7 linked regions of the Canis lupus familiaris genome follow. The protein of the gene in region 4 purifies or fractionates together with the protein of the main gene of each other region. This does not show direct contact. Links are inferred from orthologs where the notes say so. Each region holds a gene or a part of one and is shown on either strand. Other genes may lie near its edges.

Region 1 (3,922 bases), on a different chromosome or scaffold from region 4:
TGCTAACTAAATTTAAAAAAAGAGGGAGGATTAACATTTACTGAGTACCAAGTGCTAGGTAAAAGAAGCTTCACAGCTGGTCTGGGACAATCTTTGATCAGACAGGAACAGTAAGAACAGAGTGGTAATTGCAGAGCAAGGATTAGGGGACAGGAGGTCATTTCTTCAGCAGCTCAGGTCACTTACCTTTACAGTATGTATAAAGGTCTAGTACACAGCAGGTCCCCACCACAGCCTCCAAGGGAATGATCTCATAGAGTGGTACCCTAAATAGCTCATTGTGATAGAAGCGGCGTGACGGAGAGTGGTGGGTCTCGTGGGGGCGGAAGTAGTGGTGACCAAAGGCAAACCGTTCCTCTCTAAGGAAGAAAGGGAGAGGTTTAGTAAACTGGCAAGATCCTAGGCGATATTCAGCTCTGTGCTGGAAGGCAGAGCTGGAAGAAGAGAGAGGACCTCAACACATACTTTTCATTCTTCCAGAGCTTCTCAATGCGGAAGATGTCAAGTTTATCTCGGTTAATGTGTGATAACAGTCGGTAGGACTGGCGGACTGGGTGGCCATCAGGGGTGCGCCGGCTATCTCGCATCAGGTACACACAGTCACCTAGGAAGGCACAGGACAAATTAAATGATGCCTGTGAACTGTTAGATGCCCACTGGTCCGACCCAAGGTCTACACAGAAGGGCTGGAAATCTAAAACAACAGATACAGAGAGCTACAACTGGGAGTCTAATGGCGATGAACATCAATTCTAGACTATGAGAATGGCACGAGGGAGGTCTCCCATCTCTTAGAATCCTATATGTTTTTCTCAGTCCTAAAATTAGCTTTATGATCTCCTGGTTTCTCCTAATTTTTATTTGGTGGAGGAGAAATGTATAAAAGCCTAAGGACTGAAGTACATACAAACCTATACCGTCAACCTTTGAACAACATGGGTTTGAGCTGCATGGGTCAAATTATACTCAGACTTTTGATGAATTACGGTAGATATAATGTAAAAAAACCTTCCTTACGTTTTTTTTTTAACATTTTCTTTTTTCTAGCTTACTCTATTGTAAGCATGCAGTATATAAATACATGTAGCACACAGAATATGTGTTAATTGGCTATTTATATGTTATCAGTAAGTCTCTGGTCAACGGTAGGCTATTAGTTAGGTTTCGGAGGAGTCAAAAGTCATATTTTTTTTTTTTTTTTAAGATTTTATTTATTTATTCATGAGACAGAGAGAGAGACAGAGAGGGAGAGACACAGGCAGAGGGAGAAGCAGGCTCCATGAAGGAAGCCCGATGCGGGACTTGATCCCAGGACTCTAGGATCACGCCCTGAGCCAAAGGCAGATGCTCAACCACTGAGCTACCCAGGCATCCCCATATGTGGATTTCTGACCATGGGGAGGGGGTTGGTGGCTCCTATACCCTGCATTGTCCAAGGGTCAACTGAATTCAAGGTCATGTGGTGACAATAACTACTATGCAGAGAGCAGATACTCCTTGCACTCAGAAAGGTAAAGTCAGCTTTGTGTACGCACCTTGACGAAGCAACAGGTCATCTCGGAGCAAACAGATGAAGTAGACACAGCCGGGCTGGGCATAGTGGGGCCGAGGGATCATGGGTACCTCCTGGTAAGAACGGAAAGCTAACAGATAAGGGCTGCAGTGACTATATCCAGCCTATTGATTTCCATTCAAGAGGAAAAGACCTCAAACCCAGAATTTGCAAACAACTTAACACTTACTGTTTAGTCATTTCAACACAACACACATGCGAACAAAGATGAAAGCAACTGAAGTTGAACTGGGAGTGTGAAGGCAGAGAACAAACCTGACAGGCCAAGTATCCCAAACTAGCTGCATAAAGCACTAACTATGTGGCTGCTCTTATACCCCCTTGGGAGCATGATAATGTGTGAAGGGGACTGATTGTCATAATGACTCAGAAAAGTTACCAGCGTTCAGTGCCCAAGGGCCAGGGAAGTCAGACATTCCCTCACAGCACAGAAATGTCCGCTCAAAATAACAACACCGCTGTTAAGAACTACCGCCTAAAACACTTCCCTTCATAGAAAAGACCTGCCCGAGATCACACGTATAAACATAGCAGAACCAGGACAAAAACTCACTTAGTAACTTGGGCAAGTTACCCCATCCACCATCTGTCCTGGAAGGGTTTAAGACTAACCTGTGTTGACTCGGAATCATGCTCCTTTCACGTCAACATTGCTTAACACAAGAGATATTTACAGTACTCGAGTTCTGGACTTCACAAGTACTTCCCTCATGGAAAATTGACAGTGTTTATATAGTACCATTCCTTCCACAGGTTTCTAAGTATTTTATTTCCCCTTTGACCACACACTTGAGAAAAGAAAGGGCAGAATTATTACCCTAGTGTTAAATATAAGAAACTAAGGTCCAGGTTGAGTAACTTATCAAAGTAAATTCAGTGCATCAGGAGCTGGGCAGGTAAGATAGCATGTGCTAAACCTCCTACGTGTAGATCAGAGTATCAGCAGAGGGCAGCTTACTCTGTCCACAGGCCTCGGGTCACACTGCTCACACAGGTAATGCTCCACGTCTGAGTTCACCCCCATACAGTCACAGTGCTGCCATACCTGTGGGGAAAACAGTAGTTGAGGGAGGACTTGGACTTATTGAGAGAAGTGCTGGGAGCTAAAAATTTAAAAAAAAAAAAAAAAAAAAAAAAAAAAGAATTGCAGCAGGACAGGATAAAGTCAAACAGGAACTAAGGGATAAGTCGGGGAGTGAGAAATAGGAGAGAAACAGTAGGAACCTGTCTGAACACATGTATATTGTTTGGTTCATAATATATACATCTGGGAAAATGAAGTGAGGAGCTGGACAGAGAAGAAGAGGATGAATGAATGTAGCACTAAGGAGCACGCACCGGTGCCCAGGCTGTTTGGGGGGGGCCATAGCCACATGATGCTTCTCTGGGCAGCTGCCTAACTGCAGCACCCCCCCTACCCCCCCACCCAACCAGACTGCTGGCGGGCCCTACCCCCCTAGGCTCCACTTCCCATTTCAGTAAGGTGGTGGGCTCAGACATTCTTCCATCAGGAGCTCCTATCCTGCACAAAAGCATCCTCCTCGATCCAGACTATGTGAGATGTGAACAATGGGAAGGGGGCAGAGAGAACAAGATGTGGAAAAGGAAGGGAAGGATCAAATTAAAGAGGTATAAAATGGGAGAAAGGCAATCTGGTGAATAGTGAGAGATGGGAGACACCAAGGCAGAGCTAAAGTTCCTGTACAGCAGGCAAATCAAGCCCAGAGGCCTTCTGCCAGGTGGCCACCATGCCCCCAAGGAGCAGGCCTGTGCCCTGCTCAGGGCTCACCATGCACTTGTCACACTGGATCATGAGGCCCTCATCCTTGTGGAGGCCACAGACACAGCGGATCACATCGTCATCCTTCTCATGCACGTTCTCCTTCTCAGAGACAGATGTTTCGCTGCTGTCGGCCTCACTTGCTGTCTCTCCCACAATCTCATCAATCTGGGCTGATGCCTCATGCCTGGCGTTGTAGTAGGTCTTCCGTAGACGGCAAACATCTCTCCCAATTGGGGATTTACGCCCGTAGTACTTCTGAAGAAAGCAGAACATAGAAATGTTCGGTCTTCTCAACATGGCTTAAAAATGTACCTGAAGAGGGATGTCTGGCCACCAGCTTAGTTTGTGGCACTGCAACTCTGGATCTCAGGGTGGTGAGTTTGAGCCCCATGCTAGGGGCAGGGCTTCCAACACACACACACACACACACACACACACACACACACACACACACACACACACAGACCCTGAGGAGGCAATAGGATTTTCATTGTCCTCCCACTTTGGTTAACAGATTTTCAATACCATCAAGTATCAACTAACATGAATAAAAATTAGGATCTACA
Region 2 (4,717 bases), on a different chromosome or scaffold from region 4:
GGGACTCGATCCCGGGTCTCCAGGATCGCGCCCTGGGCCAAAGGCAGGCGCCAAACCGCTGCACCACCCAGGGATCCCCCAACTGTGGGTACTTTAATTAACTAAGTGGGCTTATCTAGTAGGTAGCTAGATGTACTGTTTGTTTTTTAAGATTTTATGTATTTATTTGACAGAGAGAGGGGAGTGCACAAGGGCGAGTTATAGAGGGAGTGGCAGGTTACCCGCTGATCTGATCGGGAGCCTGGCTAGGGTCATGACCTCAGCCAAAGGCACTTGTTCAACTGATTGAGCCATCCAGGCGGCCCTAGATGCACTGGTTTGTAATGCAAAAGAAAAATCTTGGCTGGAAATACAGTTTTGGGAGTCATCAACCACAGTTGGCAATAGGTCCTGGGGTAGCTGTTGCACAGGGAGCCCGAGAAAAAGCCCTGGAAAGAAGCCTTCCTTCCAAATATCTAATGCTGGAACTACCTTTTCACGGTTTCTTCTTTAGTTCTTTCTACGTTATTGCCCACAATTTGAAGTAACGGGAGAAGTACCTTGGCTTAAAAATTTTTGACAAGCAGGATCAGACAGTTGCCACAGCTTTTACAGCGTACCGAGAAGGGTTTAGGGAGCGAGTCAGCAGAGTACAGTGCTTGCTGTTGAGATGACTCGGGGTCAATGCTGGAACAGCAAGGTCAGGAGCGGTGGCTTCCACGTGCACAAAAAACAATTCCTGGGCCGCGGCTGAGGCCGGCCGGCAGGATTTGGGGGACAGATAGGACCCGAACCTGTCGTCATGGAGACGAGGCAGCTAGAAAGCGGCCGAGGGAGAGGGTTCGGAAGGGATACACAAGACTGAAGAAAGAGATGCCGAAAAAGCTAGTTACGTAGAAAAAGGCAGATGCGAAGGTTAAAACCAGCCGCGATACCGGGACCGGGGGACAGCACCGCCCAGGGCTGGCTGAGCTTGTTTTCGTGTGGTTCATACACAAAAGGGAACAGAGCCCTCCTCCCGGAAGCAGAACCTCTGCCCTCTGGGGCTTTACACATTCCTCCGCGCCGGAAGAGCGCGGCCCCGAGCCTCGGAGGCTTCGCCCTCAGCGTTGTCTTCCCTGAAAGAGAGCCCGCGGGCCCTTGGGGCCGGGCCGCCCGAAGCTGTGGAACGGCGCCGACCCGCGCACACCCGCGGACCAGGAACCCTCCCCGGTTGCGGGCAAAGCCAGGAAGGGGAAGGCCCTGCGCCGAGGCAGCGCGTCGCGGCGGAGGGATTCTGTTTCTGTGGTGGCGGCGGCGGAGGGATTTGACGGTACCTGAACTTCCGGAAAAGTCCTGACCCAGAGACGAAAAACCCCGAAGGAAACAATAACAAACGAGAAGAGGAAGCGACTGTGGGGTTGGGTTCCTGTGTGGAGCGGTTCTGGTCCGAGACGATGAGCTTCGGCCCCTGTCAGGAGACGTGAGAGGGTTCGGTGGCCTTCGACCAGCCTTTCTCCACCTGTTCTCCCCCCCGCCCGTCGGAGGGCCCCCCGGGTGTTGCCATGGCCGGCGTGGGGCCGGGGGGCTACGCGGCCGAGTTTGTGCCGCCGCCGGAGTGCCCAGTCTTTGAGCCCAGCTGGGAGGAGTTCACGGACCCGCTCAGCTTCATCGGCCGCATCCGGCCTCTGGCAGAGAAAACCGGCATCTGCAAAATCCGACCGCCCAAGGTACCGGAGTCCGGGGAGACGGAAGGGGGAGTGCTTTAGGTTTACTTTCTTTTCTTTTTTAAAAAGATTTTATTTGTTTATGAGAGATACACACACACACACAGAAAGAGAGAGAGAGAGAGGCAGAGGGAGAAGCAGAAGCAGGCTCCACGCAGGGAGCCCGATGCGGGGCTGGATCCTGGGACTCCGGGATCACGCCCTGGGCCAGAGGCAGATGCTCAACCGCTGAGCCACCCAGGCGTCCCTAGCTTTACTTTCCCGGTCCTTCTTCCTTTTCATATTTACTCTCTCGTTTCTCAACAATTAGAAGCTAGGTTTCTGGGTGTTCTTGGTTTCTTTTGCAGGCTTCTGTGGTAGGCCTGTCTGAGCGCCAGAGCGGTGTCCCACGGGCCTTCCTGCCCAGAACTTGGGAGCTGGTACTTCTATTCCCCTTTGATTGTAGGCAAGGGTAACAAAAGACTTCGGGCCTTGCGCTGGCCGAGGAGGTGCTCGAAGTGTTAGGACGTGTTGTACCCTCGTGTACTGTGCTTTCTCCTTAGGATGCTAGAGTAAAAACTGCCTTTACACTGACTTTTTGTTTTTCTAATCCGAGTCCTACTAATGGTTGATTTAGTAAATATTTGCAAGCCTCATTTCAAAGGAAAGATTTCTTAAACGGTAATCTGAGATCTAGTCGTCCCCTAGAATGGGATTACCAAACAAGAACCCTAGACTGTGTTGCCGCAATGAAAAAGTCTTCCCAGGGGACGAGAAGGTGCAGCATTTATTTTAGAATTTGGTGGTTTAAGAGGAACTCTTTTGACATAAGGAACCAAGGTTCAAAGATTTATGAATTGCAATTATTGCAAGTAACTGTTTGCCTGTAGGTTTTTTATAATCCTCAATCTTTAAGGAAAGCAGATACTACTCCTTTGGGGGCGTTAGTGCCCCAAGAGGTTGAGTGATTTGCTCAAGGTCAAAAGATTTTTTTTCTTTACCCATGAGACCAACGTTTTTCAAATGCTGTTCCTGGTCCACCTGCACAAGGCTCAACCAGCTGCTTGTTAAAATGCAGATCTCCAGGCCCCTTTTTCAGACTAGAATAGATTTCTGGATGTGGAAGTTCTAGAATGTGCTTTTTTAGTAAGTACTCTCAGATGATGCTTAATGCACATTAAAGTGTGTGAACTATTGCCTTCGGTGCTTCTTAAAGGGACACCTTGCTTTATGTTTTGTCTATTAGTTATAAGAATAAAGGATGAAGTACTGTTTTCGTGTTGCATTTTAGAAAGCGTCTGCTCTCACCACAAACTACCACAGTGGTGTGCACCATAGAGAATAAAAAGAGCTGAAGCTAGGAGGGAGGAGGAGAAGCTAATTTAGCACCTACAGATTATTTCACTTAATATTCTTTAAAGCCCTAGTGGGTAAATAACATCTCATTTTACAGATAAGACAACTCTGAATAAGTTATATAACTTATCAAATGAATGATCTTGGGTGTGTGGCAAAGTAGATTTTGAACCTAGATCAATCTGTTTTATTCTAAAACCCAGGCATGCTACTACACCTGTTTATGCTTAATGAATTTGATTAAGATTTATAAACGTTAATTACAGATGAAAGATTAAAAGCTGATTTCTATGACGAATGATGGCATATGCATTGCCAAAAGCATCATTTAACTTCTGACATTTAATTAAAAGCTTCATTTAACTGTTGAACTATCAAAATTACCTAATACTGGCAAAACTTTAAGCTCTGAAGTTTTTCCTAAACCATATATTTTTTTTTTTTTTTTTTTTTTTTTTTTTTTTTTATTTATGATAGTCATACAGAGAGAGAGAGAGAGAGAGAGGCAGAGACACAGGCAGAGGGAGAAGCAGGCTCCATGCACCGGGAGCCCGATGTGGGATTCGATCCTGGGTCTCCAGGATCGCGCCCTGGGCCAAAGGCAGGCGCTGCGCCACCCAGGTCCTAAACCATATTTTCATCTACTCTGTTGCCTTTATGAGTTAGAAATTGTGTTCAGGATTCCTTTAGTACAAAAAAAATAGTTCATTACTAAAAAAAGATGGAAATAATATACCTTCTCTTTGTATGTCTTATTATCATTAAAAATAAATCTTGTTTACAAGCAGAATTTAATTTCAAAATTGATGTTCTTTGGTTTCTAAGGTAAGGAAAATTTTTTTGACTACTTCTCACATTTTTAAGTAGATTTACTATTATTTAGTCCAAATCAAAATATGTTTTCTAGAATCCTACTTGAATTGTGCCAGCCCATTTCAGTTATACCATAACTCCAATCTGGAAATTGCCCTTATTCTGTGAATTTGCTTACTTTTTAAAAAAATATTTGGGTGTTGAGAAACCAGGCTTTGAACAAAACATTTATGTAACACAGACTGTAAAGTGCTGTGTCACATTACCCATGAAAACAAAAAGATATTAACCAATTATATAAGTACTTTAAAAATCACCTTTTAATCTTCAGTTTTACCCTTTTTAGTTTCTTTCAAATTCTGTTTTATTTTTCATTTAGTAAACTTGGGAGGTTTATTAGACCCTGTTGTGATACACAAGTTCACTGCATTCCACTTGATTAATTGGGGAAAGCATAATTGTGGGTTATAAAGGATGGGACTCCTGAAATTTGAAGAGGATTTATAGATAAAATACTTTTAATAAGACAGTATGAGAGAGAAGTGATTGGAGAGAAGTAATATTAAAAACATCTAAAAAGTATTACTTTTCCTGTTTCTACAATGAAAAAGACTTAAAGTTGACTTGTCATCATTTATGGCTATTCATCCCTTAAATTTGAGGGAATGAATAATGCATTCTTACACATCAATATGTTTAAAAATATATATGTATTTTTATTTAGGATTGGCAACCACCATTTGCATGTGAAGTAAAAAGCTTTCGTTTCACTCCCAGAGTCCAGCGCCTGAATGAACTTGAGGTGAGTGTTATATTGTGATTTCTGCTTCCTGATTCATTCTTTGTCAGGGCTCCTGTAGAGAACTTTGAGCAACTCACGTACC
Region 3 (4,528 bases), on a different chromosome or scaffold from region 4:
TTTTAATTATTTACTCATGAAAGACACAGAGAGAGGGAGAGGCTGAGACACAGACAGAGGGAGGGGCAGGCTCCATGCAGGGAGCCGGATGTGGGACTCTATCTCGAGTCTCCAGGATCACGCCCTAGACCAAAGGTGGCGCTAAACCGCTGAGCCACCCGGGATACCCAAAAGGTGACTTTATTAAACCATGGAGACAGACCTGTGGGCAGAAAGAGCTGCCCCAGGGTTATGAGGAATGGCTGATTATATACTTTCAGATTGGGAGGGGGTTAGGGACATCGTAAGTCTCTATGGAATGTTTGAAGCAAGGTTTCCAGGACCTTGAGGGGGCTAGCTATTGTTGGGAAGAGTAATCTGAGTCATGAGACCCTTCAGAGATATATTGCTGGGTATTATGCTTGGGGGATAATTACCAACATATATCTTGGTGCAGGCAGAGATAAAGGAAGTTTCCAAAAGAATTTTTATATGTTCAAGTAGACTTACAGGATCCTGGGAGTTGGGCTAAGATTGCTTTTTGCCTGTTAGGAAAAAGTATTACATCAACATGGAGGCAGTTGAGTCCCTAGAGGAAGGTCACTCGTCCTGTTTCAAGGACTTCTCGATGGGCTGTAAGTATTAAACACATCTAATAATTTTTCTTTTGTCTTTGTTTCCCACATCATTACGGCCTTCAATCCTGCACATAGGTGCTTAGAGTCCATCTCACAAGAAACAAAGAAGACCCTGGAGGTTTGGAAGCAGCTGTGGAATGATCCAGTGCTTTACAGCACCAGGGCTAGGAGAACTGGTTAAGAGACTCCTGAACTGTTCCACTGGGGAGATGATGGGATCAGGAACCATCAAGAACCAGTTAGCAAAAATGCACTTCACAGGGCCCCTGTGGTGCTGTGTGCCCCTGGCCCATCCTCACATCAACCTCATAAAGCAGGGGTCTACAAATATTTTTTAGCAAATATAACAGGGTCTGCACATCTTAGGGTCTATCACGGCTACTCACCTTGCTGTGGAAGCGCAAGAGTAGCCACCGATGATAGGTACACGAGTGGGTGTGCCTGTAAATTTTATTTTACAGAAATTTCACGTGTCACCAAATAGCCTTCTCTTTTGAAATTTTTCCAACTTTAAGAAATGTGAAGACCACGATGAGTTCGCTAACTGGAACCGGACAAAAAAGCAAACGGCTGGGTTTGCTCAGCCGCACTATATAAGGCGTTGGTTAGCAGTTCAATTTGGGGAGTAAAGTCCGGGAGCAAGTCCTTCCAGGGGCCACGCCCCCGCGACGTCATCGAGGCCGCGCCCCCTCCGGGGCGGAGCCTGCGCATGCGCGGCCGGCCCTCGGGCGGGGGCGGGGCGGGCCGCGGCTCCGACTTCCAACATGGCGCACGCTGGCGGCGGCGGCAGCGGCGGCGGCGGCGGCGGCCCCGCGGGCCGGGGGCTGAGCGGCGCCCGCTGGGGTCGCTCGGGCTCCGCGGGCCACGAGAAGCTGCCGGTGCACGTGAGTGCTGCCCCCGCCGTCCCTCGGGAGCCCCGTCGCCCGGCCCCCGCGGGCCGATGCCCCTCGCCCGGGCCCCGCCCGGCCCCGCCTCGGCCTCCACTCCGCACGGCCCCCGACCCCAGCCCCCTGACCCCTAACCTTGACTCCCCGGAGGCTCGGCCCGCCCCCCTCCCCGCCAGGGACCCCGGTCCTCCGTCCGCTCCTCCGCCGACCCCCGCCCACCGGGACCCTCCCCTCCCCGCAGGTGGAGGACGCCCTCACCTACCTGGACCAGGTGAAGATCCGCTTCGGCAGCGACCCCGCCACCTACAACGGCTTCCTGGAGATTATGAAGGAGTTCAAAAGCCAGAGGTACCCGCGGGACCCCTTCCCACCCCGGGGGGGCCGCCCTGGGCCGCGATCCGGCCGAGCGGGGTGCGAACCCCCATCCCGGCCCCCTCTCCGCCCCAGTCGGGTGACCTTGCGCAGGTCGTGGAACCTCTCAAGAGCCTGGGTTCCTTCCAAAAGACGGGAGCGGAGAGTACCCCCCTGTGGAGCTGTTGTGGGGATTCCTGGAAGGAGAGCGGGGATGGGGTGAGGAGACAGCAAGAGAGAAGTCCGCAAGCGCAGCAGGAGTCGGGTCCTGTCTTTACTCAAAAGGATGTTTAAAATGAATTTTGTCCATCAAGGATTTGTTTAATTAATTTAAAAAAAAATTTTAAGCACTACGTTAAAATTATTGGTCTTGGTTATTGCATGTTTTGGCACCCTCTCCCCCTTCAATCTTGTCTCCAAGGTGAGTGCCTCACCCTCGGCAACCCCCAGTCCCAGGCTTGTTGGAAAGTAATGCGCATAAAATGCTTTGTAAGGGGTCTGGCACAGAAAAAGGATTGAAAACACACCAAGCTGATTTCTGTAGGCGCACAGGAGGGTTAGAGCTAGATAGGGGACCTCAAGATCATGCCATCCATTAACCGGAGGCTTACTTTGGCTTAGAGTGGGCCAGAGGCTTGCCCAGACTAGCCTTAGGGGCAGTCAGGACTAGAACTTGGGCACTCTGACTCTTAGATTCTCAGCGGTCCCATCACCACCGTGCTGCCTCCCCCTCCCTGAGGAAATCGGGCAGGGCTGGCCTGATTTCCTTCCAGGAGAGACCAGCTAAAGCTTTGAGGGAGCCCCACTGCAGCCATGGGGACGACCCCCTGGCGTTGTGCAACCCATGCTTGCAGGGCCTTTGGTATTTATGCTTTGCCATCACTTGCTGGGATCCACACCTGTGTCATGGTTTATCACATTGCTTAGAGGGCTTTGGCCTCCTGCCACTTCTTGGAGTCCCGGACTTTCACTTGGCTCTCCTGACATTTTCAGAACAGAACGCGTGTGCTTGGAGTGTTTGGGGTAGCTGTGCCATGCAGATATCCTGTGGTTCTCCATAGGAGGGTACAGGGAGCCCAAGGCTGGCTGCTGTGGAAGTAGATGACACATAACACATTGGCTGAATCACACCGGTCACATTGCAGGGTGCTTTGTTGTCCTTCGAGAAGCTCATTATTAGGTGGCCCTGTCAAGTGAGTTGGGAGTAGATTTTGCTTTCAGTGTGCTCCCCAAGACACTCCTGCCCACTCTCGTTCTCTTTTGTTCTAGCATCGATACGCCTGGAGTCATCCGACGCGTGTCACAGCTCTTCCATGAACACCCTGACCTCATTGTTGGATTCAACGCTTTCCTTCCCCTCGGGTACAGAATAGACATTCCCAAGAATGGCAAGTTAAACATACAGTCGCCTCTATCCAGCCAGGTATGCCGCTATGGTGGTCTGAGTGAGTTGGCCCTGACATGGTGCACCCTGGTACTCAGGTACCCAGGTCAGGCAGCCCATCTTGTGTATCATCGTGTTGCTGGAAAGCCAGCGAAGATCCAGTCTTTTTCTAGACACGCTGCTCGCTTCTAGCACAGGTCAAAATAGATCAAAATACCTATCCAGCCAGCCTCTTTATCCCAAATCGATCCGTTTGGAGGATTCAGATAAGAGTGGATGTGGTTGTTTGTGTCAGGGGTATTCTCTTAGCAGTTTTATGTCCTGTCAAAATAACCACCCCCTGTCACCAGGCTCTTATCCTGAGGCGTTCCCGTGACATGCCAGGTAGGCCACACTTGTACTTCGGTATGTGGTTGCTCTGATCATCCTAGGTGCCCGCCGCAAAATAAAGTAGTTGAGATGTGTGTGTGAATAGCCGTTTTGTTGTTGCTGTGCTGCATTTAATTGCCAGCAGGGTCGGTGGCTCAGCTTAGGCTTGTGGCTTTGGCTCTTTATGTCTCAGGTGGTGGCTCGCTGCCTCCTATATCCCTGTAGTCCCTTCTTGCCTGAGCCCACCAGACCCTCTGAGCAAACAAAAACCTTTGTGAGCTTTACTCTTATAAATTAGCCATTGCTTTTCCTCCACCTTGGCCCTGTTGCCATAAAGCCGTGCTACAGGGGGTGCTGTCTAGTGCATCTGGAGATGTTTTGTAGATTCCTGACTCCACCCCCTAGGCCCTTACCCCGTGGCGACAGCCAAAAGTGTCACCAGACATTGCCAGATGACTCCTGGGAGCCATATCACCCCCATCGAGAACCACTGGTCTGCGTGAACCAGCTCTTTCAATCTCTCTGCCTCTGCTCCAGGGTTTTGGGTTTTAGAAGGGATATAAAAAAAAATCTACCACGGGAAGCGTTTTGTTGTTTCTGCCTCTGATGAAGGAGATTGCAGTTTTGTATCAATTCAAGAGTCAGATTTGGAAGGAGAACAGCCAGAGGCCATGTGACAGTGACATCCCTCTCTGAGAGGAACTCGCATGTAAATCTTGCCTTCTCTCTATGCAAGGCAAGCTCCGCCACCAGCATGTTGCCTCATTAAAGCCAAGCAGTGTGTCTCAGTTTTAAAAAGGAACTTGGAAGTGCGTGGCCACTGAACTCCAAAGAGCTTCCATTTCACATTTACACACAGAGCACCAGGATCCAGATGTAGGGCTTGTTGCTTCAGACAATGAAAGCCTTAGCGAGATTCA
Region 4 (3,812 bases):
CCTATTTTTCATCTTTATCTTACTAGTTCCCTCTGCTGCATTTTATACTGTACATTATCCCTTTCCTTTCTTAAAACTCTTTTGACTTATTTGGCTTCCAAAATAACATTCTCCTAATTCTTCTATGGCTGCTCTGACCATTTTTGTGTTGTTTTTGGTCTCTGCTAATCCCTTAAATACCATTCTTTTAGGTTTTTCCAGAATTTCATACTTTGGTTCAGTTTTTCTTCCTCTTCTGTCCATGAATGACTTTGATGGCTTTCCTAGCTTCCAGTAGTAGCTGTGTGATGATTACCCTCAGATCTCCATTTCAGGCTCTGACCTTCACCTGAGCTTTAAAGTTAAATATCTAACTTTACATCTCACACGTAGTAGATCCAGTACTGAAGTTCTTTCCTCTCTAATCCACTTCCTCCTCCTCTAGATGCAGTCTTATTTGGTGATAGTACTAATGACCTAATCACCCATTCTCAAAACCTGGAGTCATCACTGACTTCTCTCTGATTTATCACCTTCTCCAACAAGCTAATACTGACAGTGGTGTCATGTACCATTTCTTGTTTGCTCCAAAATACTCTGTGCCTATAACCGTCATTGTACTAACCTCGTTTTTTTTTTTTTTTTTAAGATTTTATTTATTTATTCATGATAGTCACACAGAGAGAGAGAGAGAGGCAGAGACACAGGCAGAGGGAGAAGCAGGCTCCATGCAGGGAGCCCGATGTGGGATTCGATCCCGGGTCTCCAGGATCGCGCCCTGGGCCAAGGGCAGGCGCCAAACCGCTGCGCCACCCAGGGATCCCTAACCTCGTTTTTTTAATTGTCACCTTAGATTTAAACCCTAGGACCTAGCATAGTATCTGTCCCAAAGCAGATAGGCAATAATGTATGATAACTAATTGAATAGATGCATTTGTACAAAGCCACCTTTGACTGCTCCCTCTTCTTCATTTACCAATTTCTGTATTCAGTTTCCCTTGACTCTGTCATCACCCTAGTTCAGGATTACTTGGACTCCTACAAAAACATTTACTGCTACTCATTTTGCCTCCAGTCAACTAATCTTTCTTTGTTCTTTTATCTTGTCATTTATCCTGTTCAGACAGTTTTAATTTCAATTCCACTGCCTTTTGTAGTTTCTTTTCCATTTAATTTATTTTTTTTCTAAAATTATATTTCTGTCTTTGGAGTGGCACCAAAAAACTAACTTATGGGCAAGTCTGATGAGCGATTGGATGGGGTGAGTAGTGGTTGGTAGTGAAAATCAAAAAGAGGGTGGAAGTAGTAAGTCAGTCACTTACAAATGATCCTGAACTAGGATTTGAAATCTAAATTCCAAGAAAATAGCTTGTGTTTTACTGTGGTAGGCCTTTATGAAGTAATATGTGTTAAAGGTCACGATAGAAAACAACGAAGTAAAATATTTTATATATTACAGTGGTTGGAATAAAAACAGGGTTGAATGAGTTCCAGAAAGCAGGGTTCTCAAACTCGTGGACAACAATCTGCAGAAGAAGACAACTTCAAAAAACCAACTAGAAGTAATATGCAGAGAAGTAAGATGAGAGGGGCCTCCTCAGGAAAGAAGACTGCTGGTCCACAGCAGAAGAATCTGGAACCAGCTCTCCCAGGCAGATGGGGGGGTCGCTCTGCAGAGAACCCCCCTTCAGGATCAGTGAGGAAGACCAGAAAGAACAAACAGAAGACACCTGGAAACGGTGATGGTGGCAGTACCAGTGAAGCACCCCAGCCACCTCGGAAGAAAAGGGCCCGGGCAGACCCCACTGTTGAAAGTGAGGAGGCATTTAAGAATAGAATGGAAGTTAAAGTGAAGATTCCTGAAGAATTAAAACCATGGCTTGTTGAGGACTGGGACTTAGTTACCAGGCAGAAGCAGCTGTTTCAACTCCCTGCTAAGAAAAATGTAGATGCTATTCTGGAAGAGTATGCAAATTGTAAGAAGTCGCAGGGAAATGTTGATAATAAGGAGTATGCAGTTAATGAAGTTGTGGCAGGAATAAAAGAATATTTCAATGTGATGTTGGGCACTCAGCTGCTCTACAAATTTGAGAGGCCCCAGTATGCTGAAATTCTCTTGGCTCACCCTGATGCACCAATGTCCCAGGTTTATGGAGCCCCACACCTACTGAGATTATTTGTAAGAATTGGAGCAATGTTGGCGTATACGCCCCTTGATGAGAAGAGCCTTGCATTATTGTTGGGCTATTTGCATGATTTCCTAAAATATCTGGCAAAGAATGCTACATCTCTGTTTACTGCCAGTGATTACAAAGTGGCTTCGGCTGAGTACCACCGCAAAGCCCTGTGAGGGTCTACTGACCACTCACTGTTATGTCTGGTATCTGTAAACACTCTTTTCGTTCTTAGTCTTTTTCTTGTATAATTGATGTTCTTTAAAATTGTTAATGTATAACAGGGCTTATGTTTCAGTTTGTTTTCTGTTGTGTTTTTAAACAGAAAATGAAAGGAGTACAAGCTCCTTTTCTCATTTCAAAGTTGCTACCAGTGTACGCAGTAATTAGACGAAGAAGAAACATTCAGTAGAACATTTTATTGCCTAGTTGACAACATTGCTTGAATGCTGGTGGTTCTATCCCTTTGACACTACACAATTTTCTAATATGTGTTAATGCTATGTGACAAAATGCCCTGATTCCTAGTGCCAAAGGTTCAACTTAATGTATATACCTGAAAACCCATGCATTTGTGCTCTTTTTTTTATGGTGCTTGAAGTAAAACAGCCCATCCTCTGCAAGTCCATCTATGTTGTTCCTTAGGCATTCTATCTTTGCTCAAATTGTTGAAGGATGGTGATTTGTTTCATGGTTTTTGTATTTGAGTCTAATGCACGTTCTAACATGATAGAGGCAATGCATTATTGTGTAGCCACGGTTTTCTGGAGAAGTTGATATTTTAGGAATTGTATTTCAGATCTTAAATAAAATTTGTTTCTAAATTTCAAAGCAAGTATTTTGCAGCATGCCTTTAATATTATTGAGGCTGACTAGTCCGCGGGCTCGGGAAAGATCTAGGTGGTATCAGAGAGTTCTGACTCCCAGTAAAAGAATTCCTTTTTCTGTTGGGTGTGGCAGCCAGGAGTATGCTGTCATTGCCAGTTCCCCTCCTCTTCCCTCATTGTGGCTTCTCAGAGTGACTGCTTTCTAGTGCTGCTTATAAGAACTCCTTGCCCCTGTGAATTGGGCTGGCATAACAGAATATTTAGTGGATACTATAATAGTTCCTTACACTTACGCAGAGCTTTGCTCTTGACCACAAAAGAAAATATGGGCAGCCACCTTCAGAAATACTTAACAGATTTTGGACCAAGGATGGCCGCTTTCCCTAGTTCCAACATTGAGTTCATGTTCTGTTTTTATAATCCCTTAGACATAATAGTGGGAATCTAGAGTAGGGGATTTGTGGAGGAGGGTTGATGGATGTCTATGATTATAAATCCATTCTATAAGGAAATTTACCAAACCAAGTTTTGTTTCATGACAGTGTTTTTTTACTTCTATAGTAAAAACATAAATTATCATGGTTACTGGAGAGATTTTAGAAAATACAGTAAGAACAAATCTGGAAATGAGTCCTGTATGATCCTCCTAGATCAGTCAGGGTCCCAGCAGGAAATAAATTTTATTCAAATCGATGATTTGAGAAGTTTAATAGAGAATTTTTTCCCAAGTTGTCAACAGAGGAGTAAAGTCATGGTGTGTATTAGTTTGCTAGGGCTGCCACATCAAAGTATCATAAACTAGGTGGCTTAAACAACAGAAATTTATTTTCTC
Region 5 (4,700 bases), on a different chromosome or scaffold from region 4:
CAGCTGTGAACTGTTGGGCACCGGCCGTCAACTACCAAACTATCTAGGTTTCTTATGTATCGTTTTTAAGTTTTTCCATAAGTGCCGCAGGTGGTCATTTTACATAATCGGGCGTCGAGATTCAGCCTTGCGGACCGACCTGACGCGACCCGGCCACTTTCAAGGTAGAATCGCACGTCTGGTGACCTGGGCCTGGAAGGTGCGCCCCCTCCCCGCGCAGGGGCCTCGGACGGACCGCGGGGCTTGCAGGTCGCCGGGCCGCGGCATCTCTGCTTCCACACGGCGGGGCAGCCGACTTCGCCGCGGGCCGCACGGCTGGAGCCCACCTGCTCACCTGTCACCTGCTCACCGGTCGGTCACCTGCTCACCTGCTCACAGGCTCACCTGCTCACCCGCTCACTGGCCACCTGCCCACCAGCTTACCTGCCCACTGGTCACCTGCCCACCAGCTCACCTGCTCACGGTCACCTGCCCACCGGTTCACCTGCCCCTTGGTCACCTGCCCACCGGCTCACCTGTCTGCCTGCTCACTGGTCACCTGCCCCCCCAGGCTCACCTGCCTACCTGCTCATCGGTCAGCTGCCCCCTGGCTCACCTTTCCACTGGCTCACCTGTCTGCCTGCTCGCCTGCTCACTGGTCACCTGCCCACCGGTTCACTTGCCCATTGGTCACCTGCCCACTGGCTCACCTGTCAGCCTGCTCACCTGCCCATTGGTCACCTGCCCACCGGCTCACCTGTCCGCCGGCTCACCTGTCCACCATCTGCTCACCCGCACCCCGGCTCACCTGTCCACCACCTGCTCACGGCTCACCTGCCCACCTGCCCACCTGCTCACCCGGCCCTCCTCGAACTTTTCCCACCCGAAACTCCCAGCGCCCGGCAGCGGCTTTCGCAAGCCCGACGCCCGGGTGTTATTTCCTGACCGAACAAAGAGCAACAAAGAGGTGGGTGGTGACCGCGCCTGGGCGGGCCCGCGGGGGGCACCTGCGCCCCCGCCCCGCCCCGCCCCGCCCGCCGAGCCAGGGCGGCCTCACGCCTCCCAGTCGGAGCGAGGGGCGCCCGAAGGGGCCGGCGGCGGACAAAGGAGCGGGACGGGGCCGGGGCGCGGGAGCCGGGGAGCGGGGAGCGGGGGCCCGGGGCCGCCCTGCAGCCCGACCCGGGGCGGGGACCGGGGCGGGGGGCCCGGCCGACGCTGGGGGCGGAGCGCGGAGCCGAGCGCGGCGGCGGCCCCCGCCCGGGAGGGGAGGAGGGAGGGGCGGGGCCCTCGGGGCCGCGGGGCTTTGTGCGGAGCCCGGGCCGGGGGAGCTGCCCTGACCCGGGGGGAGGGGTCGGGCCGGAGCGGGGCCCACACGGCCGCGGCGGGCAGGGGGGAGGCCGGGGGGGGGAGGCAGAGAGGACGCAGGGGGGAGGCCAGGGGGGGGGGAGGCGGGGAGGCCGGGCGGGCGGGAAGGAGGCGGCGGCAGGGGGAGGCAGGGGGGGCGCGCAGGGGGGAGGCCGGGCGGGCGGGAAGGGGGCGTCGGCAGGGGGAGGCCTGGCGGGCGGGCGGGCGGGCGGGCCGTCCCGGGGCGTCCCCGGCCCCGTCCCGTTCCTCCCCTCCCCTCCGCGGTCCCCGGCCCCGTCCCTCCGCTCCCCTCCCCTGCCCTCCGCGGTCCCCGTCCCTCCCGGCCCCGTCCCTCCCGTCCCTCCGCTCCCCCGCCCCGGCGCTCACCGTCGTAGTAGTAGCACACTTTCTTCTTGCCGCCTCCCTGACTGTACGCCATGGGCTCCCGCCGCCGCCTCGGGCTCGGGCCGCTCCGCCTGCTGCTGCTGCCGCCGGGCCGCCCGGTCGGCGGGGACACTAGCGCCGCGGCGGGCGGGGGCGGGGGCGGCTGCGGGCGGAGCTGGGCGCGGAGGCCGCGGGGCGGGAGCGGGCCGAGCGGGCCGAGCGGGCCGGAGCGGAGCCGAGCGGGGGAGGCAGCGGCGCCGACGCGCGACACTGGGGAGGGGGAGGGGCGGGGGCGGCCAAACCACCTCCGGGGGCCGAGGGGCGGCGGGCGCGTCCACGGCGGCCTCGCGGGGGGGGGGGCGGCCGGGCGGGGGCGGCCGGGCGGGGAGCGGCCCTCGGCCCGGACGCGGGGGGCCTGCGGTCGACCGGCGACGCGGCCGGGCAGCGGCGGAGGCAGCGGCGGAGGCAGACGCGGCAGGCCGGGCCGGTCGACGGAGGAGCGCGGCGCCGCGGGCCGCCCCCCCCCCCGCCCGCGCACGGTGGTTGCGCCCGGCCGGAGCCTGCGCAGTGGCGGCCGCCGGGCTGCAGCGGCCGCCGGGCCCCTCGGCGCCGGCCCACGCGCTCCCCTCCCCCACGGCGCGGAGCTCCCGCGCGGGCCGACCACGTGCCGCCGCCGCCGGGGGGGGGGGGAGCCCCGCCTGCACCCCTCGGGCCCCCTCGGCCGCCCGGCCCGCCGCGCCTGCCCCTGCGCTCGTTCTCTCTTCCCTTTTCCTTTTTGCTAGTTGCTCCGGGGCCCCGACCCCATAGGGGGACCTAATAGGGCCAGTCGGCTGCAGGCCGTACTTCCTGGGTTTGAAGGGGTGTCGAGGGCACGCATGTGCACTGGGGCGCACGGCACAGCCCTCAGCCTGTGCACTGGCAGCATTTGCACGGAGCCCGTCCCGTGCACGACACAGACCTGCCGAGACCCCAGCGAGCGCGGGGCGCAGGCGCGGTCGCCGCCCCCTCTGTGGGCCGGAGCGCGGATGGGGGGACCCGGGCCTGCCGGCTGCAGGACCCGGGTCCCGGTGCATTCCGTCTGGCTCCCGGACCTGCACGCCCTCGTGCAGCTGCTGCAGCTGCTGCAGCTGCTCCTGGCCGGGCGCCCGAAGGTTGGAGCAGGAACCCCAAAGACAGCGCTTGCAAAACTCATGGAAGTTGCAAATACTGATGCCCGATGAGCGAATCCACAAACATGCATCAAGCATGCACTTAGTCTAAGCCAACACCTTGCACGTGAGGCCTGGGGGCACTGACAATCTGCAAAGTAGCGCTCTCATCCCAACTGTATCTTTCACAGTCCCCCCCCCAAGTACCCAAATACCCCCAAAACACACTCTTCCAGGTACCCATCCAAAAAAAAAAAAAAAAAAAAAGCCTTATTGGAGCAGGAGCTATTTAGAGCCACTACCAAAAATGTCTTCTTTATTTTGCTCTTTGGCTTCAGAATCCCCAAGGTGTTTATATTTAAAGCAGTAATTTTCCTGGATCTCACCCCAAAAGGTTTCTAGAAAACTCCAAAGTAATCCCTTCCCAAATACCCCAAATACACTTTTCCAGGTACTCATCCAAAAAAAAAAAAAAGCCTTATTGGAGCAGAAGCCATTTAGAGCCACTACCAAAAATGTCTTCTTTATTTTGCTATTTGACTTCAGAATCCCCAAGGTGTTTATACTTAAAGCAGTAATTTTCCTGGATCTCACCCCAAAAAGTTTCTAGAAAACTCCAAAGTAATCCCTTCCCCACCCCTCCTGCCAAGTCTGTATTTTGAACAAGCGCTCCATGCAACCCACGCGGCTGGTAGGGGGGCAGCAGGGTGGGAAACATGGGCTCAAGGTTAATTACAAGATACTGACGTTCACAGTTTTATTCAAGTCCCAAAGCAGTTTGGTAGATTCTAAGTAGAAACCTCTATTCTCAGGACCAACAGAGTGAAGGCTGAAATGGGACTTTATGGTCCTCAAGAAAATCTCCCTGACTTCACCTACCTCCCGGGCTGGGGCCTGCCTCTCTGCCCTTCCCATCGTCTGTCCTGGGGCCTCCTAGCGCCCTGGCTCCATACCATGCGGAGGTTGCTCACGACTTCTCTGAACTTCTCTGAACTTCTCTGAACTTCTCATCAGAATAGAGTTTAACAAGACTAAGGACTATGTCTGTTTTGAATGTAATTACATCTCTATGCTCGCGACATGGGGCGAGTCGCTTAAACATTTTTTGGTCTAATTTGCCTTATCTGTAAAATGAGGCAGTATTACTTGAATAATTCCCCATGTGAATATTGAGTCCCTCGAATAAGAAAACATGGAATCATTTTTTTTTGAATCATTTTTAAACATTAAAGAACTGTGTGAATATAAGGGATTATTACAGGGATCCCTGGGTGGCTCAGTGGTTTGGCGCCTGCCTTTGGCCCAGGGCGTGATCTTGGAGTCCCGGGATCGAGTCCCGCATCAGGCTCCCTGCATGGAGCCTGCTTCTCCCTCTGTCTGTGTCTCTGCCTCTCTGTGTCTCTCATGAATAAATAAATAAAATATTCTTTTAAAAAAAGGGATTATTACAATACAAGTAATAATAATGATCATTCTTTGCATGTACAGTAGCTCACCTCCGACATGTGGGAAGAGCCTGAGCATACGTTTTTATTGTTGAGGAACTTGTTATCTATCATTTAATAATTTCAAACTAATAGACGCAATTATTTTACCCTGAGAAACTGGCATTAGAGAAGGATATCTTACTGGTAATAGGAGCAGGCCAAGAGAAGTATGCGCCTAAACATCTATAATGAACTTTAGATGATCAGAACTAACATACAGTCAGTTATTGAAACTTTGACAAGCGCAAATTTCATTTACCATATTCAGACTCCTCTCTATCAAACGTTTTACCCTTAGGGAAAAAAGAGAGTTTTAGACAACATATAGGAGAAGGAAACAAGTTGAGAATATGGTTAT
Region 6 (3,922 bases), on a different chromosome or scaffold from region 4:
TATTTACAAAAAAACAGGCAGCTAGTTGTATTTGGCCCAAGGGCCATAGTTTGCCTTTTCTGTTTAGAGTAGAGAGCTGGGAGAGGGAGAGAGCAGGAGAGGGAGTGTTGTGAGTTGAATGCCAGGCTAGTGAAGTTGTTCTTTATCCTGTAGAAGATGGGGAGTCATTAGGGGTTTTTGAGCAGGGGAATGGTGTTATTAAAGCTGTGTGTTAGAAAAATAACTGGTCAGTGTGGCAGATAGTTTTGAGTTGAAGACAGAGGAACCAATTAGAAGTCTATTGCTATAGAGGAAGCTAGAGATGATAAGAGTTTAGTTTTCTTATCTATACAATAGGAATAATACTCCTGTTTTACCAGGTTCTTGTGAGGATCCATTAATTTTTTTTTAAGATTTTATTTATTTATTCATAGACACAGAGAGAGAGAGGCAAAGACACAGGCAGAGGGAGAAGCAGGCTCCGTGCAGGGAGCCTGATGTGGGACTCGATCCTGGGTCTCCAGGATCACACCCCAGGCTGCAGGCTGCGCCAAACCGCTACGCCACCAGGGCTGCCCCTGAGGATCCATTAAGAAAGTAAATGTAAATGTGCTTTAACCCCATAAAGTGTTTTAATATGAAAGAGGTGAACTGTGACTTATAATAATTCTGAATAGTAATGGTTATTTTTCTGTTGTGGGAGTGAATTCTTTGCAGATACGGTGAGGTGAATCACCTTGTTGCCTGCTATTCTCCAGTAGCTTTGGAATGAACCGTTTTTACACTGTGTAGTGCCTGTCGGCTAGGCTTATTTTTTTTTTTAATTTTTTAAATTTTATTTATTTATGATAGGCACACAGTGAGAGAGAGAGGCAGAGACACAGGCAGAGGGAGAAGCAGGCTCCATGCACCGGGAGCCCGACGTGGGACTCGATCCCGGGTCTCCAGGATCGCGCCCTGGGCCAAAGTCAGGCGCTAAACCGCTGTGCCACCCAGGGATCCCATCGGCTAGGCTTATATCTTTAAGTGCTGGACTCACCAGAGTCCCCTGCTTTTTTTGTTTGTTGTTCCTGTTTTGTTTTGTTTTATTTTTATTTTGTTTTTTTTTGTTTGTTTGTTTTATTTTTATTTTGGAGTTAACTCTTCCTCAAGGTGGGTGAGAATCTTGGGGACTAGAACGAAAGAGAAAGAATATGATTAGGAGATGGTTATAAAAATTCCTGGATTCTCCTGGGAGTGTATGTCTAACTGTGTCACTGAAACTGTCACTCTTTTTTCTTCAGGGGATGTTGGAAATTACTATTATGGACAAGGCCACCCAATGAAGCCTCACCGAATCCGTATGACTCACAATTTGCTACTTAACTATGGTCTCTACCGAAAAATGGAAATCTATGTGAGTTACTGGGACCCCCACCACTCCCTAACCCCATCAGCTCTAGTTATGTTATCTCATTTTCTCAACTACTCATTCATCAGATGTGTCGAATGGGCTGTTATGTGGCAGACATTGAAAGAGATTTCTGTTTTTAAAGGGTTCGCTCCAGTGCTGGAGACTGACAGGTACACAAATAAATTGTACTACAGTCTGAGGGCGTACAATTAAATAATGTACAAGATACAGAGATAATGAAAAGTGAAGGAGGAAGGGAAGCCTTGGAATGTTTCCTGGAGGTACTATCTGAGCAGAATTTTAAATATTGAATAGAATTTAGCCAGGAGTTCAGGAGGGGACTGACATTCTAGACCAAGGGAAGAGTGTAAACAAAAAGGCAAAGAGGTAAGAACAGTATGGTGTGTTTGGGGAAACTATGAGTAGTTTCTAGGTAGTGCTATAGTGTAAAGGTCTCACGGGTGTGAGTAAAGGGACCTACAGTTGGAGAGGTCAGCAAGGATTGGATATGCTGTACTATGTAATAAGCAACTCTGATGGGCCAGGATTTAAAAAAAAAAATCCAATGCCTAAAAAAAGAGCAATTGGGACTATGTTGAGCTAGACAAGTCCCTAATTACTAGAGAGCATAGACTCTAAACTGCTTGACTCAGTTCCGTCTGATTTTTGCCCACCTACCGGTTTTTATTTTATTTATTTATTTTTTAAAGATTGTATTTATTTGAGAGAGAGAGCACAAGCATATGGAGAGGGATGCCTCCACTGGTGGTGCCCCCACCATCAGTTTTTAAAGAGAAGTTAGGGATCCATATTATTCTGTAATGTGGGGCCTGATCTCAAGACCTTGAGATCGTATTCTGAGCTGAACCTGAGAGTTGGACACTTAATTGATTATGCCACCCAGGTGCTCCAAAGATTTTTTTTTTTTAAAGTAATCTCTACACCCAGTGTGGGGCTGAAACTTCAACCCCAAGATGGTGAGTTGCATGCTCTACTGACTGAGCCAGCCAGGCATCCCCAAGTAATGGATTTTAAATCAAAGAGAGATAAAACAGGTATGCATTTTATTTTTATTTATTCTTAAAATATTTTATTTATTTATTGGGGGGGTGCAGCTGGGTGGCTCAGTCGGTTAAGTGTCTGCCTTCGGCTCAGGTCATGATCTCAGGATTCTGGGATCGAGCCCCACATGAGGCTTCCTGCTTCTCCCTCTGTGCCTACTTGTGCTTTCTCTCTCTGTCAAATACATTAAAAAAATGAATTAAATTTTAGAAAATAGAGTTAGTGGGTGGGAGGGAAAGGGAGAGAGAATTTGAAGCAGACCGCATTGAGTGCAGAGCCACACATGGGGCTTGATCCTGCAACCGTGAGACTATGACTTGAGCTGAAACCAAGAGTTGGATGCTTAAACCGACTGAGCCACCCAGGTGCTAAGTAATCTGCCCGGTATGGGGTGAAAACTCTCAGCCTCGAGATCAAGAGTCACATGTTCCACCAACTGAGCCAGTCAGGAGCCTCCAGGCATGCATTTTAGTAGGGAAGCCAGTTAGGCTGTTGCAAAGGTCCAAATGAGAAAATAAAGAAGGGCTGGGAGCCTATGTTGCCTTATGGTTAGAGCCTAAGAGTCTGTGGTTAAAGTCTGTGCTGGCAGCTTAAGTAACCTAGCAACAGCAGTATCCTTCCTCACCATTCCAGAGACTGAGAGGAGATGAGTCTTCTGTCTCAGATGGCCCTGTTATGTCCCTAGAGCCACTGGAGGCAGCTGGGGAAGCAAGGAGGGAAGGTAGACAGAGGAGCAGGCAGATGTGGGACCAGAGACCTTTGTCAGGTGTGAAAGGCATCTGAGAATGAAAAACATAAAAGGTAGCAGACAGAGGTTTTGAGGGACTCTAGGGAGTAGACTAGCATTTAGATAAAAAGAGGATACCTGAATGTGGAATAGCGAGCGCCGAGACCTTCCAGAGTTCCCTCTTATACATCTATACCTTGCTAATCTGGCTCTAGCTTGCCTCCTTTTCTGTCACTCCCCTCTCAGAACCCTCAGATCAGATTCTGCCTCTTTCTACCCCATCCTGACTGGGAGGATTACTCTGCCCAGTCATATTTTACTCATCTTCAAAAGTTACCTCAAGCCCTCTTTCTCTCTTTCATTCAGTATATATATATATTTATGATAGTCACACACAGAGAGAGAGAGAGAGAGAGAGGCAGAGACACAGGCAGAGGGAGAAGCAGGCTCCATGCACCGGGAGCCCGACGTGGGACTCGATCCCGGGTCTCCAGGATCGCGCTCTGGGCCAAAGGCAGGCGCTAAACCACTGCGCCACCCAGGGATCCCCTCATTCAGTATATTTTTGTTGAATACTTGTCATATTCCAGGAACTATATTAAACTCCATGAGTGATACTGAAGTATTAAAAAATGGATCCTATCTTCAAGTAAGGAAAAATAAATGAACATTTATTGAAGATTGCTTGGGTGGTAGGCCAGGGCTACCTGTTATTTTATATAATCCTTATAGCACCTTTAATTTATAGCTGAAGAAACAAG
Region 7 (3,922 bases), about 65 Mb from region 4:
TGGTTCAGTCAAGATTCTTTAGCTGCAAGCAACCAAAACCAACTCCGGCTGATGCAAACAGAAAAGGAATTTATCAGAAGGGTGTTGGGTAGGGTAGCTCACAGAATTGCTTTGCTGGCTAGAAAATGGCCCAGAACAGAGAGGAGAAGCGGGTGGGTGTTACTCTCCACTTTGTACCCCCCCACACACTTGGCAAACATGAGAACAGATTTCCCTCTTAATGTTCACAATTTAAAGTCCTGGTCAGGGGCACCTGGGTGGCTCAGTTGGTTAAGCAACTGCCTTCAGCTTAGGTCATGATCCCGGGGTCCTAGGATCAAGCCCTGCATCAGGCTCTCTGCTTCTCTCTCTCTCTGTCTGCCTGCTATTCTCCTTGCTGTATGCAGTATATCTCTCTCAATCTCTCAATCTCTGTCAAATTAATTAATTTAAAAAAATCCTGGTCAGACTGATGTAGCCACTATCATGTCCTAGCCACGAGGGAGGCTGAGAAGTGAGGGTCTCCCTTAGTTCTCCAAAAGGAAGCTTTCCTCCACTTCCCTCAAAGTGGGTGTGGTAGAGTCTCTGAAACGGAATGGATTATGCTCAGTAACTTTATTACTAGTGCCTTTTGAAGACACCACGCTGGGATTTGCTAGTTATAATAGCTGACGTTTTCTAAGGGCTCTGCATGTGCCAGGCTTCTTGCTCATCTTCCCAGGATCCTTCTGAAATGAGCAGGAAAGGATGTCAAGAGCTCTATATATGTTCCTTTTTCTTCAGTGCTTGTAAATTGTCTGAGTGTATATCAACAAAGACTAAGGGTGTATTCTGTAAAACTATTTTTTTTGTTACTGAGTACATAGCTATTACTGGGAAATAGCTTTGTCACAGAAAGTCTTTCAGATAAGAAAGTGATTTTCAAAGAGATGAAACCCATACCAGTCAGTGGAATTGTTGGGGCAAATATGTCTTAGTGGAATTACCTTTTAAACCGTTTGGATGATAATCATTGTCCCATAGCTTGTAATATTTTTTCATAAAAACTTTCCTGTTAACTTTGTAATGGTTTTCATTTGAAGAATCAGATCCCAGAGCCTGCTGATCTGTGATCTTTGAGGCCTGGGAAAGGCCCATGGCCTTTCCTTGGATTTTGCTGAAGTATTGAGGTCTGTGCTGTGGGGATCTGTCAGCAGGCCTTAAGCTTTGGCCTCTCAAAGTAGCCTAGTTGGGGTTTCTGGATTTTTCACATGTTCGACTTCCTAATGTTCCACTACAAATAGTGGTTTCTGCTGTGAGGCGAGAGAATTATCCAAAGATTTTTCTTTTTTTAAGATCTTATGTAATTTATTCATGAGAGACAGAGAGTGACAGAGACATAGGCAGAGGAAGAAGCAGCATCCCTGTGCGGAACCTGATGCCAGATTCCATCCGGGACCACAACCCTAGCCAAAGGCAGATTCTCAACCACTGAGCCGCCCCCGCCTTTAAAGATTTTATTCATCCATTTTACAGAGCCTTCATGAGCACAAGCAGCGGGAGGGGAGGGAGAGGGAGAAGCAGACACCTTAATTTCCAGTCTCCCAACCCTGTGTGAATTTTTAGGACAGGAGTATCTGTTCAGTAAATACTGAATATTGGACTCTTAGTGTTGCATTGTGTAATCGAGATGAATTTTAAAAGATTTTATTTATGTATTCATGAGAGTCAGAGAAAGAGAGGCAGAGACACAGGCAGAAGGAGAAGCAGGCTCCATGCTGGGAGCCTGATATGGGACTCGATCCCAGGACTCCAGGATCACGCCCTGGGCCAAAGGCAGGTGCAAAACCGCTGAGCCACCCAGGGATCCCCTCTAGATGAATTTTAGATACTTGATTGAAAGTATGTCAGTAGAAACTCTACCTCATTGTCTATTGCCTGCCATCGTGCCTGGTTTCTCTGTCCCCGTTATCATATACTTTCCTTTTCCTTGCCCTCTGCATCTCAGGTGATGAAAGCTATAAGCATACTCTTGTGTTTCTGAAGCTTCACTTTGTTTATATTTCTTCTCCCTTGTGTTTATTTCTGCCTTTATATATATAGTTAGATAATTTTTAAGTTTAAGTGATCTCTACACCCAGCATGGGGCTCGAACTCACACCTCGAGATCAAGATTCACTCTTCAGACTGAGCCAGCCAGGCACCCCTAGTTATATAATTTTTTAATGAAGATTGTTTGTTTTTTCCTTCTTTAGACTGTCTGTCTGTGGGATATAAATGCAGGACCAAAGGAAGGCAAGATTGTGGATGCTAAAGCCATCTTTACTGGCCACTCGGCTGTTGTAGAGGATGTGGCCTGGCATCTGCTGCACGAGTCATTGTTTGGATCTGTTGCTGATGATCAGAAGCTTATGATGTAAGGTGGAAGGTTCAGTGGGGTCTTGATATATGGGTGTCCTGAATGATCAACAGTGATTGTGGTGGCCTATGGTTTGATTTTTTTTTTAAGTTATATACTGGCCTTAAAAGCTTTAGCTTGACATACAAGAAACAACAAGTGTAACAGCTTTTTTTTTTTTTTTTTTTTTTTTGCATAGAAGATACTGTGCTCTATGAATGAACATATTTTTTTACTTGAAAAAAATCTACAAATGTAAAGAAACATTCTTAGTGGTATGTGTCAAAATTAGGGTCACAGTGACTTTGAAGATGAGGGCTAAAAATGTTTGCATCAGGGCATGGCTACAGGCTGCATTCAGCCACCTAAAATGTGTTTTATTTCATAAAGAAACTAGTATCTGAGGCAAATGTGGCTAAATAGTAAAATATGGTAAGGTTGGGTTGTAGGTATCAAATTGTTACATTATTCTCCAGTAGTTGTGTCTGCTTGAAATATTTGGTAATAAGACAGGAATCTGAAACTGGAAATGATAGCCCTAATTTATTTTCTGTGGGTTTAGAATATGTCACTTAGTGGCTGGAAGTCCAGATTGGCAGCTTTGTATGTGATTAGGGTGTCCATGAAGGGGTGAGCATGGCAGAGTAAGGGTGGTGTGGAGTGGTGCAGACCTGGAAACGGGCATGAGAAACTGAGGAGGGTTGGGTGGCTTCTGCTTGTGCTGTGTGCCTTGTGTCTTTGTGTTCTAGATGGGACACCAGGTCCAACACCACCTCCAAGCCAAGCCACCTGGTGGATGCACACACTGCCGAGGTCAACTGCCTGTCCTTCAACCCTTACAGCGAGTTCATTCTCGCAACTGGCTCTGCGGATAAGGTTTTTTAAGTTTTTGTATATTTGATGTTTATGAATCCAGTTGTCTTGTGCTATAATCAGATATTCTAAAATTCTTCGTACAGTGCAGAAATGAATTCCTTTTCATTTATTTTTCTTCAGACTGTAGCTTTATGGGATCTGCGTAATTTAAAACTAAAACTGCATACCTTTGAATCTCATAAAGATGAAATTTTCCAGGTATGTGACAGTTTTCTCATGTCTGTCAGGCTTTTAGTAACTCTTTGATGGTGGGAAATTTAAAATCTTACTGGCTTTATAGCAGGCATGATATTTGTTTTAAATTCCTCTTCTGTATATATATGTTAACTAGTGGGAAGTAACTTGGAGCTATTTGAGATTATTACATTAGAAGTAGAAAAATCTTGCAAAACAGGATCATTTTAAAAAGTGAAATTCAAGGATTCTTTAGTTAAGGTGTCCAGTGTGGTGCATTCTCTAGTGAATAAAAATACCTTGTATGTGGTTTCAAATGGAGATTTGCTTAGGTTTAAGATACACCTCATTGAAAAAGTGAAAAGCTTCTGGATTAGTTATGGGCTTATTAATAAGCGTATGGAGGTTCCTAGCTGAGCTCCCCTGTATGGGGGGGTGTGATCTTCCCGGAGGGTGGGCTGGGGAGATGGGCCATTTAAGAGCACTTGAAAGGACAGGACAAGGAGGGTGAGGGCT

What was found.
Region 1: the proteins of MORF4L2 (region 4) and ASH1L purify together in Homo sapiens (affinity purification with mass spectrometry; 5 studies listed by BioGRID and IntAct, counting the BioPlex papers as one, with this or other methods). This does not show direct contact. The link is inferred for Canis lupus familiaris from reciprocal best matches to the Homo sapiens genes MORF4L2 and ASH1L.
Region 2: the proteins of MORF4L2 (region 4) and KDM5A purify together in Homo sapiens (affinity purification with mass spectrometry; 4 studies listed by BioGRID and IntAct, with this or other methods). This does not show direct contact. The link is inferred for Canis lupus familiaris from reciprocal best matches to the Homo sapiens genes MORF4L2 and KDM5A.
Region 3: the proteins of MORF4L2 (region 4) and SIN3B purify together in Homo sapiens (affinity purification with mass spectrometry; 5 studies listed by BioGRID and IntAct, with this or other methods). This does not show direct contact. The link is inferred for Canis lupus familiaris from reciprocal best matches to the Homo sapiens genes MORF4L2 and SIN3B.
Region 5: the proteins of MORF4L2 (region 4) and HDAC2 purify together in Homo sapiens (affinity purification with mass spectrometry; 4 studies listed by BioGRID, with this or other methods). This does not show direct contact. The link is inferred for Canis lupus familiaris from reciprocal best matches to the Homo sapiens genes MORF4L2 and HDAC2.
Region 6: the proteins of MORF4L2 (region 4) and HDAC1 purify together in Homo sapiens (affinity purification with mass spectrometry; 3 studies listed by BioGRID and IntAct, with this or other methods). This does not show direct contact. The link is inferred for Canis lupus familiaris from reciprocal best matches to the Homo sapiens genes MORF4L2 and HDAC1.
Region 7: the proteins of MORF4L2 (region 4) and histone-binding protein RBBP7 purify together in Homo sapiens (affinity purification with mass spectrometry, with the first as the bait; 3 studies listed by BioGRID). This does not show direct contact. The link is inferred for Canis lupus familiaris from reciprocal best matches to the Homo sapiens genes MORF4L2 and RBBP7.

Annotation. Positions count from the first base shown.
Region 1 is NC_049228.1:42,204,379-42,208,300, reverse strand, and holds part of ASH1L (histone-lysine N-methyltransferase ASH1L), read right to left. Parts: intron 3,612-3,922; coding exon 3,363-3,611; intron 2,619-3,362; coding exon 2,532-2,618; intron 1,627-2,531; coding exon 1,536-1,626; intron 605-1,535; coding exon 466-604; intron 360-465; coding exon 187-359; intron 1-186. UniProt on the Homo sapiens protein: Histone methyltransferase specifically trimethylating 'Lys-36' of histone H3 forming H3K36me3. Also monomethylates 'Lys-9' of histone H3 (H3K9me1) in vitro. The physiological significance of the H3K9me1 activity is unclear.
Region 2 is NC_049248.1:3,596,117-3,600,833, forward strand, and holds the start of KDM5A (lysine-specific demethylase 5A), read left to right. Parts: upstream 1-1,523; coding exon 1,524-1,688; intron 1,689-4,557; coding exon 4,558-4,635; intron 4,636-4,717. UniProt on the Homo sapiens protein: Histone demethylase that specifically demethylates 'Lys-4' of histone H3, thereby playing a central role in histone code. Does not demethylate histone H3 'Lys-9', H3 'Lys-27', H3 'Lys-36', H3 'Lys-79' or H4 'Lys-20'.
Region 3 is NC_049241.1:46,188,447-46,192,974, reverse strand, and holds the start of SIN3B (paired amphipathic helix protein Sin3b), read left to right. Parts: upstream 1-1,381; coding exon 1,382-1,501; intron 1,502-1,745; coding exon 1,746-1,852; intron 1,853-3,124; coding exon 3,125-3,278; intron 3,279-4,528.
Region 4 is NC_049260.1:77,634,054-77,637,865, reverse strand, and holds the end of MORF4L2 (mortality factor 4-like protein 2), read left to right. Parts: intron 1-1,438; 5' UTR 1,439-1,462; coding exon 1,463-2,329; 3' UTR 2,330-2,981; downstream 2,982-3,812. UniProt on the Homo sapiens protein: Component of the NuA4 histone acetyltransferase complex which is involved in transcriptional activation of select genes principally by acetylation of nucleosomal histone H4 and H2A.
Region 5 is NC_049233.1:70,481,182-70,485,881, forward strand, and holds the start of HDAC2 (histone deacetylase 2), read right to left. Parts: upstream 2,841-4,700; 5' UTR 2,781-2,840; coding exon 2,666-2,780; intron 1,850-2,665; exon of another isoform or gene 1,763-1,849; coding exon of another isoform or gene 1,711-1,762; intron 947-1,710; exon of another isoform or gene 709-946; intron 1-708. UniProt on the Homo sapiens protein: Histone deacetylase that catalyzes the deacetylation of lysine residues on the N-terminal part of the core histones (H2A, H2B, H3 and H4).
Region 6 is NC_049223.1:68,324,310-68,328,231, reverse strand, and holds part of HDAC1 (histone deacetylase 1), read left to right. Parts: intron 1-1,262; coding exon 1,263-1,375; intron 1,376-3,922. UniProt on the Homo sapiens protein: Histone deacetylase that catalyzes the deacetylation of lysine residues on the N-terminal part of the core histones (H2A, H2B, H3 and H4).
Region 7 is NC_049260.1:13,073,914-13,077,835, reverse strand, and holds part of histone-binding protein RBBP7, read left to right. Parts: intron 1-2,213; coding exon 2,214-2,374; intron 2,375-3,105; coding exon 3,106-3,232; intron 3,233-3,352; coding exon 3,353-3,430; intron 3,431-3,922. UniProt on the Homo sapiens protein: Core histone-binding subunit that may target chromatin remodeling factors, histone acetyltransferases and histone deacetylases to their histone substrates in a manner that is regulated by nucleosomal DNA.